2 linked regions of the Ovis aries genome follow. The protein of the gene in region 1 binds, or shares a complex with, the protein of each later gene. Links are inferred from orthologs where the notes say so. Each region holds a gene or a part of one and is shown on either strand. Other genes may lie near its edges.

What was found.
Region 2: the proteins of MUSK (region 1) and DOK7 are in contact, whole or in part, in a crystal structure (PDB 3ML4), measured with the Mus musculus proteins. The link is inferred for Ovis aries from reciprocal best matches to the Homo sapiens genes MUSK and DOK7. Residues at the interface, in NP_035074.2 of Mus musculus: Leu547, His548, Pro549, Asn550, Pro551, Met552, Tyr553, Gln554, Arg555; in NP_001335203.1 of Mus musculus: Leu154, Ser155, Asp156, Leu157, Arg158, Arg159, Tyr160, Gly161, Gly172, Thr173, Arg174, Ser193, Asp197, Val200, Arg201.

Annotation. Positions count from the first base shown.
Region 1 is NC_056055.1:12,707,777-12,712,023, forward strand, and holds the start of MUSK (muscle, skeletal receptor tyrosine-protein kinase), read right to left. Parts: upstream 3,061-4,247; 5' UTR 2,947-3,060; coding exon 2,868-2,946; intron 1-2,867.
Region 2 is NC_056059.1:116,134,898-116,139,137, forward strand, and holds the start of DOK7 (protein Dok-7), read right to left. Parts: upstream 2,853-4,240; 5' UTR 2,845-2,852; coding exon 2,791-2,844; intron 2,722-2,790; coding exon 2,676-2,721; intron 1-2,675. UniProt on the Homo sapiens protein: Probable muscle-intrinsic activator of MUSK that plays an essential role in neuromuscular synaptogenesis. Acts in aneural activation of MUSK and subsequent acetylcholine receptor (AchR) clustering in myotubes. Induces autophosphorylation of MUSK.

The sequences.
Region 1 (4,247 bases):
CTGTATACATATGATTTAGAAGAAATTACTAACATATATCTAAAGATAAATCACTTAAGACTCAAGAACTTCTAGGTATGATAGTAATGGGATAATTTCAAGAGTGGAGTTTGGACAGGAGTTCTTTGTGCATAAAACAGATTCAAAGTTGTTTCACGAACTCCTATAGAAAATCCCACTCTACACTTAGTACTTCCTGATAAAGTGTTAAATATTTTTGAAAAATGTGGTTAAGGCAACTGTTCAATGAAATGTTGGCTATTTTCATACATGACTGTTTATAAAATCCTCCTCCTTGTGGTTTGATTTAAAGTATCACCAGAAAAAATGATTCAGAAAGACAGTGAACTTTCCCTTTGTCTTTGAACATTAGGAATCTAAATTAAACTAAAACTATAATAATAATAAGCTATTCTACAAAGTTGGTTATTAATTTTCTTGAAGAAATCATATGCTGATGATTGGAAAAGAGTCCACAGAATACTCTTGCACTATTTTAACTGTGTCAGTTTACTTTATGATATATTATAGTGCAGATGTCTTGATTCATTCACAATAAAGGACTTAGGAAAAGGGGGTACCACCTAAAAAACCTCTTCGCATTATTGCCTTCTGCCAAGAATAGAGAAAACAATAGATATCTACACAAATTTGTGTAGCATAATTTCATTACTGTTAATAGTACTAAAATAATCACATATTAATGTGTTCTTTGTACCAACATATTCCATGCGCTTCAACATGTAAAATATTAAGGATTGCATTTTCATGATAGTGTGTATTCTCAGAACTGGTAAGTGTAGTTAATAAATGTTTGCTCTTCCAGGCCTGGTGTTTTTGCTAAGGCTGATGTTAAACCCATATTAATTTAGTTTTTTGAATAATACTCAAATACTCTCTTTGAGTAGGATAGGCAAACATACTGCTTTAATTTTTTGAGTTTACAATCTAATTAAAGCAGTAAATAAGCTATAAACAAATAAACAAAGTTAGGGTAACAGTCTGGCTATTTTATTTAGAGCTCGGGATTTTGGCTTTGTTACGTTTATGCCACTATATTTTGTGACTTTTCAAAATAGAAACAGTGTGCTTTACCTATAAAGTTTGAAAACTACAAATCATCTCTAGATAGAAATTAGGAGGTTGGGTTTGGTTTTTCTCATGCATGGGATTCTAATTTGAATTAGAAAATCAATTGTTGTGTTCCTTGTAAGACTGGATTTCAGTACATTTTAGCATCTAACCATGTCATTTATATGTAACTTTATGGTTTAGAATAGCACAAATAAATTTACAACAATCCATAAGTCCAAACATCCAGGTGCTGCCCTTCCGGACATCCATTGTATGATCAGGAAGCATTAAAATAATCTGAAGCCAGTGTTAAGTCTTTCTGGCTATTATTAGCTATTTGAAAAGATATAGATTCTTTTTTATCTGGAGGTACCTTAAAGTATTAGTTGACAAAAGTTTAAATGCATTGAAAGACACCCTTTTGTGCAGATAAAATAGAAAAAGAAAGCAATGAAACAACATAAATCTATGAAATCAGACTGTTGGTGAAGAAAGCTCTATCTTCTTAGTATGTGAGTTTTGACCTTGTGGTTCCAAAAATTCTAGTGAACCACAAAATCTACGCTATGTTTTCTAACTAACATACAGTATGACTACCTTCGCTTATCTATACAATACAAACCCATTCAGTTCTTTGGTGAAGTAATATGAAGGGAAAATAATTCATTTGAATGTGTCATAAATTCACAGAACTCTCTTTACTCTACTGTAATGTGTTTAATTCCCTAGTGGCTCAATGGTAAAGAATCTCCCTACCAATGCAAGAGACGAGGGTTCCGTCCTTGGGTTGGGAAGATGCCCTGGAGAAGGAAACAGCAACCCACTCCAGTATTCTTGCCTGGAGAAGCCCACGGACAGAGGAGCCTGACTGGCTACAGTTCATGGGTTCGCAAAAGAGTTGGACATGACTGGGCTGCTAAACAACAGTCCATTTAATCAGAAAACTTTGTAATGTTCCTCCATTTGCTTTCTCATGTCTTTGTAAAAAGACTTCAGTGACGCCCTCAGTCACTTTGCAGATCACCTATTTTCCTGTCTTTCTTCCTGATTTGAAATACACTAGTCTCAGTTTCATAATACGCTGGCCAGAAACTGTGGACATTCTTGCTACTGCAACAGGTGTTTGTCAGTTTCTTAAGTTGCTTTCCTTTCCCCTGAGGTGGTGTTATTTCCGGTACATTCCAAAGCCTCTGAAAAAAAAACTTTTCACGGTCTCTTGCCAAACCAAATCATGACTCCAGCCTCCTATGGAGAACCCGTTGTTCTTCAGACTTTCATAGGCAACTTGTGTGCGTCTTTCTCTAATTTTTATTTGGGAGGAACTCAAATATTGATTAAGAGTTTTGCAAAGCTGAAACTGAAAATGGAAGCGATTTCTGTTCAGAAGCAAACACTCTGGATGTCTGGGAGTGGGACTGATACATTCCTGGCAAACCTGATGTAAAAAGGTTTTCATCATCCATTTAGACCACCCTGAAGTTTGACATACGCATAAACAAACTGACCTCAATAACTTGCAGTTTACCTGTTAATGTTTCCCTTACAAGTGAGGACTCTGTATGCACTGAATGGCTAAACTTTTTATTGTCGAGCTTAAGCAGGGGATGGATAGCAGTAGAATGGAGACCATCCATCAATTGCTTATTTATATAGCTTTCTCCCTCTCCATATACTGCACCCCCACTTCACCAAGTAAAACCCAAGCCTGCCCTCATGAATCAGTCACGATAGGAACACACGCATGCACCTTAGAACGGCCACAGGCAACAGTAGACAAGAGTGCTGAAACCAACCTTTTGGAAGTTTCTCAGTCCCGCTGAAGGCAACCAAAGTAAGAATATGTACCAGTGGAATGTTGACGAACTCTCTCATGATTAATCCAGGCTCAGGCAGCAGAAAGTTCTTTCTGGACAACGCAAGGAAAATGCCTCCACCGTTTACATTTTAAAGCATAGTTTGTTCCAAAAGGGTCGTCTGCTAATGACTGTTTGTGTCAGCAGCTCCACTGGCTCTAAGTATAATCAGGAATTCTCAGACTTAGCTGTAATGATAGACACGGCCAGCTGGTGAGTATCCCCTTAGGCCAGTAATGCAAGTGTAGGGCTGGAGGAACAAGGGAAAGAAAATCCCTCTAGAATCCCTTTTAAGACAGTAGCAGAAGGACAATACCAGATGCCTTTTGTAACCATCATTGTATTCCCTGAGGTATAGTTTCCCCGATCTTCTGAGTCAGCTCATCATCTCTCCTGCACTTATCTCAGAACTCTGGATGCATCTGAGCATGATTCCTCCCCAACTCTCACTCCCCAACCTGCATCCATCCCATAATTAATTCCTACAGATTGTACCAACCTGATATGCCTTGATTTCCTCCCCTCCTTTGATTCTCACTGTTCTCAGCCTATCCCAGCCTTCCTTTCAGACGTTCATCTTCTTGGAATGATGGTGGTCACCTCCTATCCGTCCTCTCTGCCTTGTGTCTCACTGTCCTCTCGGGCTACCCTGGTGACTCAGAGGGTAAAGAGTCCGCCTGCAATGCAGGAGACCCGGGTTTGATCTCTGGGTCGGGAAGATCCTCTGGAGAAGGGCATGGCTACCCACTCCAGTACTCTTGGCTGGAGAATTCCATAGACAGAGGAGCCTCATGGGCTATAGTCCATGGGGTCACAAAGAGTCGGACACAACTGAGTGACTAACACTTTAACTAATCTCTTTTTAGAACACCTGTCCTACTCAAAAGTCTTCAGTGGCTCTTCATCACATAAAAAAAATTCAAATCTCTCTAATATAACAAAAGAAGGCCTGATGGACCCTGCCTATCTCTTTAGCCTCTGTTACAATCCCTATCTCTGTTTTGATATGTAGCAACCTACTGATGGTTCACTGAATACAGCTTTCAAGCCTCCATGAATTGTTCCTACTGTTTCGTCCTCTTGGAGTGCTTTCTCCTCCTCTCTACCTGGTTCCTACCTATCTTAACTTGATCACCATCTCCTGGGAGCTATTCCAGACTAAAACTCCCACATCTTCCCAGAGCTGCCTTAGGTTTGCCTCCTCCCGGCTTCTCTGTTCTATTGTGCATTTCTCTCTCATTGCACTTACCGCGTGGTTTTAAGAGTTTTTCTGCTTGTGTTGGTGTCTCTCTTATTCTTTGGTCTCATGAGTCCACTGAG
Region 2 (4,240 bases), on another chromosome or scaffold:
CAGGAGACCACACCCACTCAGCTAGGGCCAGAGCCCTTGGGTCACCAGCTCTCAGCCCCGCTGTCTATAAGGCCCTGCCCGCTCCAGGACTCAGGGTCCCTCCTGCCGGCTTTTCTGGGCAGAATAACGCGGGCCCGGCAGTGCACACGGGAGTCCCTGCAGCAGGGCCCTCGGAGCCAGTGCCCGGGGAGCTGCCTTGGCTGCTCGAAGCCCTTTGCACGCCTCGCCCATGGGTGGGCCACCCTCCAGAGCCCAACCACGGGAGAGCATCTCCCAGCATCCTGAGCCTCAACCCAGGGAGGTGCAGAGAGAGGCTGCCCAGGGCCAGCCGGGGTGGGCCACACCACCCTCCTCTCACGGGGGCCTGGCCCGGGGAAAGGACCCAGACAGGAATCCTCGGGCCAGGACAGAGAAGGGGACCCCTGGGGGCAGTTCTCACTGAAGCTTCAGTAAAGACCGTCCCCTCTGCCCATAGTAGTTCCCCTCCCTCTGATTACCTAAACTTTATTACGAGCATAAGTGGTCTTGATTAAAACAAAGCGCAAACACCAGAGAAGGGACCAAGTGGAGAGGGGCACTCTGTGTCCCCCACCTGCCCAGTCTCCAACACCCTCTACTGCTTCCCTTGGGCCCACCTGGGAGGGAAATGATTTCTAAAAGCAAGAGCCCTGGGGTCTTCACGAACAGCAGGCAGGGCGGCCCCTCCTCTCGTTCCCAGACTCCCCTCTGCTGCAGCTGGGATCTAGGGAGTCTCCGCAGTGAGACCCCAACATGCATGGGCCTACCCCCCACCCAGGTCCACCGAGGGAGCCGGTCTTCAGGATAAGGGGGACCAGGCAGCTGCACCCCTCACAGCCAGGCCCCCAGCGAGCCGGAGAGGGGCCGGCTCATCGGCTAAGGGCCGGGAGGAGAGACAGGAGAGTGGGGACAGATCCTTGGACTGGATGGGGGACCACAGTGGGGGTCCCGAGACTCTGGGGACCAGGACGTGGGGCGCAGGGCTCACGACGGACAGCAACCCAGAGGGGCACATGGACCCTCCTCCAGCCCAGTCCCCTCCCGCCCAGTCCCCAGGCCAGGTCCTGCCTGGAGCGCCTAACCCTCTTCTCTGGGCACATCCCCTCCAGCCCCGCCGCCCTGGCGCCCTGGAGAGGCGGCTCTTCCCTCCGCTTAGGCCCGTGGCAAGCTCCCCTCCCGCAGGGCTGCGTGTGGAAAGACCCAAGAAAGGCTCAACAGCCACAAGTCCATTTATAGACTCAAAATCTGTGGCGGTGAGGAGCCGGTGCCAGAGGGCCCCGGCGTACAGGTGTGTCTGCCGGGCCCGGCCAGGGCACAGACCTCACCGAGCTCTCTAGGATACAGACACGACACCCACCACCAGGGGCTGCACATCACCACCCGCCCCAGCAAGGGGGACGAGGCCCGCCTGGGGCTGCGCTCCGGTGGGTCACCTTCCCCAGAGGCCCGCACAGGCCCTAGCTCATCAGCCTCCCTGCAAGCAGCCCCCGCCCCGGGCCCCAGCCAGCCCCTGCCCACTCCGTCAACACCGCCTGTGCCCACCTTGACCATCCACAGCCTGGCCAGTGCAGGGATCCCACTGCCTCCCAGTCCCTAGCCCCGCCAGGCCTCCCTGAGCTCCCTGGGACTAGGATCCCCCAGCACCAGGCACGGGGCTGGGCCTGCGAGACGGGTGAGCTCAGTGAAGCGGGTGCAGGGCTCAGGCCCCTTGGCGGGGACGCTGAGTTCCAGGTAGGAGGAGAGTGTGTCCAAGGCCAAACACAGGCCATTGCCCCGCAACCGCAACCGTGCTGCTCCCAGAGCCGGCTCGGCCAACGGATGAGGAGGGGAGCTCCTTGGGAACTGCCAGACACCCCCAGGCGTGCCGGAAGACCGACAGCCTCGCACGTGTGAGGCAGCGTGCACACACGCCCCCAGCAGTGCACACAGACCCCTGGGGGCCTGGGCCAGCTCCAGGGCACCTGTCTCCGGGAACAGCTGCAGCCAACCGGCCCAGAGCCTCTGGGTCGCCGCCGCTCGCTGAGGACCAAGGCTGGAGATGCCCAGCTCCACGTGCCTGTCCAGCCTCCTCCCAGGGAGCTGGGACTGGGGGGGTTCCCAGGACACATCCCCAGAGGAGGTCTCTTTCCCCTCTCTCTGTTCCAGGGCAGTCAGGCCTCAGCTCCACCTGGGCAAGGGGAGGGGGTGGCGCCTGGGGTCAATCCGGCCGGACACCCCATCTGGATTTGGGGTCAGTGACACAGCTCAGTCCCCACTGGGCGGGGACTTTCTGGGATGCTCCCTGCGTCGCCATGGGGGAGGGGGCCAGAACAGGCTCAGGCCCTTTCAGCCCTCCGGTCTCCTAACCCCCTCAACCCCACCAGGTCCCTCTGAGGTCTGGTCAGCCCTCCTGCCAAGGCGGGGTCGGCCGAGGGATCTGGGGTCTGAGACGACGTAGGGGCTCCGGGCCGAGTCGGGGCGCCGGGAGGGTCCCCGCAGGCCGAGGCCGGGGCGCTCTCCGGTTACAGCCCTCGCCCCGGGGCGCCCGCCGCCGGCTATTTCGGGCGAGCTGGCCGGCGCTCCGGGCCTACCGGGCGCACGCAGGAGGCCGCCGGCGGCCGATCGCGCGCGCGCGCGGGCCCCCCCCGACCCCGCGCCGGCGCCCCGCGCCCGCTCACCTGCCACCGGCGAAGGCTTGCGCAGCACCAGCCACCTAGTCTTCCACTGCGGGGACAGAGGGAGCGTGAGCCGCCGCCCGCGCGCGCCCCGCCCCGCGCCCGCCGCGGCCCCGACCTTCTTGCCGTCCCGCAGCTTGACCTGGCCCTCCACCAGCGCCGCCTCGGTCATCTTCTATCATGGTCCCCGCGCCCCGCCGCCCCGCCCGCCGCCCCGCGGGCCGCCCGGCCCAGGGTCACTTTCAAAATAGCTCCGCGAGCGCCGTGCGCCGGCCGGCGGGGAGGCGGGCGGGGCGGCGCACGCGGCGGGCGGGGCCGAGGTGCCAGCCCGCCGGTCCTGCCCCACCCGCGCCCGGCCTGGGCGATGCGCCCCCCGGGCACCTGGGGCCACCTGAGCGCCCTGCCCTCTGGGACTGCGCGCTGCCGAGGCTCGGATCCTGGGGCTCCGACGCTGCTCACCCCGGTGGGGTTGGCTGGGGAGGCGGTCCCCCCTTCCGAAAGCAAAGGAAACGACCCCCGGAAGAGGCATCCGCCCCGGGTGGGCCCCCGTTTGCCAGTGTGCCTTCCTCTAAGCTGGCTTCACCCTCGCGCACCTGTCCCTCCCACCACCACTGAGCTGTCACCGGACACCACGGACCACAGTCAGCTCTGGCCAGGACGTCGCCTCACTCTCCAACCCAGCTCTCCTGCCTGCTCCCTGCTCCCTTCCAACCCCTCAGACCACCCCTGCTCCGTAGGCAGGAGGATGGGGGGTTCATTCCTGTCCCCTGGCAGCAAGGACTTTGGTGCAGACTGCTCCCGGCGGTTAGTGGGGCCACAGTGCCCCAGTCTTGAGTCTGGTCCCAGACCTACACGCCCCGCCACTGGCTGCTAGGGTTGGGGAGGTCCATCCCTCCAGGCTGCTCCGTAAAAGCCCGCGAGAGAGCCCCCACTGCAGCGGGGGAGCTCTGAGCCTCGGGTTTTCCGTCCTTCCGCCCACATCCCCTGGTCAGCTGCCCAGGTTCTTTGGGAACCCAGGTGGGTCCACTTCTCAGACTTCAGCCCCCGTTTCTGAGACGACCTCCAACACTCACGCCTTTAGGAGCATCGACGAGGCCCCGGGGCCAGTGGCAAAGACAGGCCGGCACTCTGAAAAGCAAAGAGAAGCAGTGTGCCCCAGCCGGGGTCCCACCCTGAGGCGGCTGAGGATCTGGTTGGGAGGAAGGGGGAAGGCTCTGCAGTGTCCTGTTACCCTGAAGTCCGCACGGGTAGGAACGCGGATGCGTGTCGTCATCCTGTCCAGGTCTTGCCTCTCACAGAGGAGGATCTAACACTCAGAACCGCAGGCACCTCCAGGACTGACCCCAGTTGGCTGAGCCCTGAGCAGAGCATGGGGGCCGCACCGGCGGGAAGACCGCTGGGCTGGGGTCCCAGCTCAGCCACCACCATGCTGCGCACAGAGAGGGCCAAGTCCGTCCTCTCTGTGCACCCCATCCCTGTTGTCCCTGGGAATATGAGAAGGCAGGGCCCTGGGTGGGGGCGATGAGCTCGGTTTGAATGTCCCGGGAATGCGTGCCCAGGGTGCGATG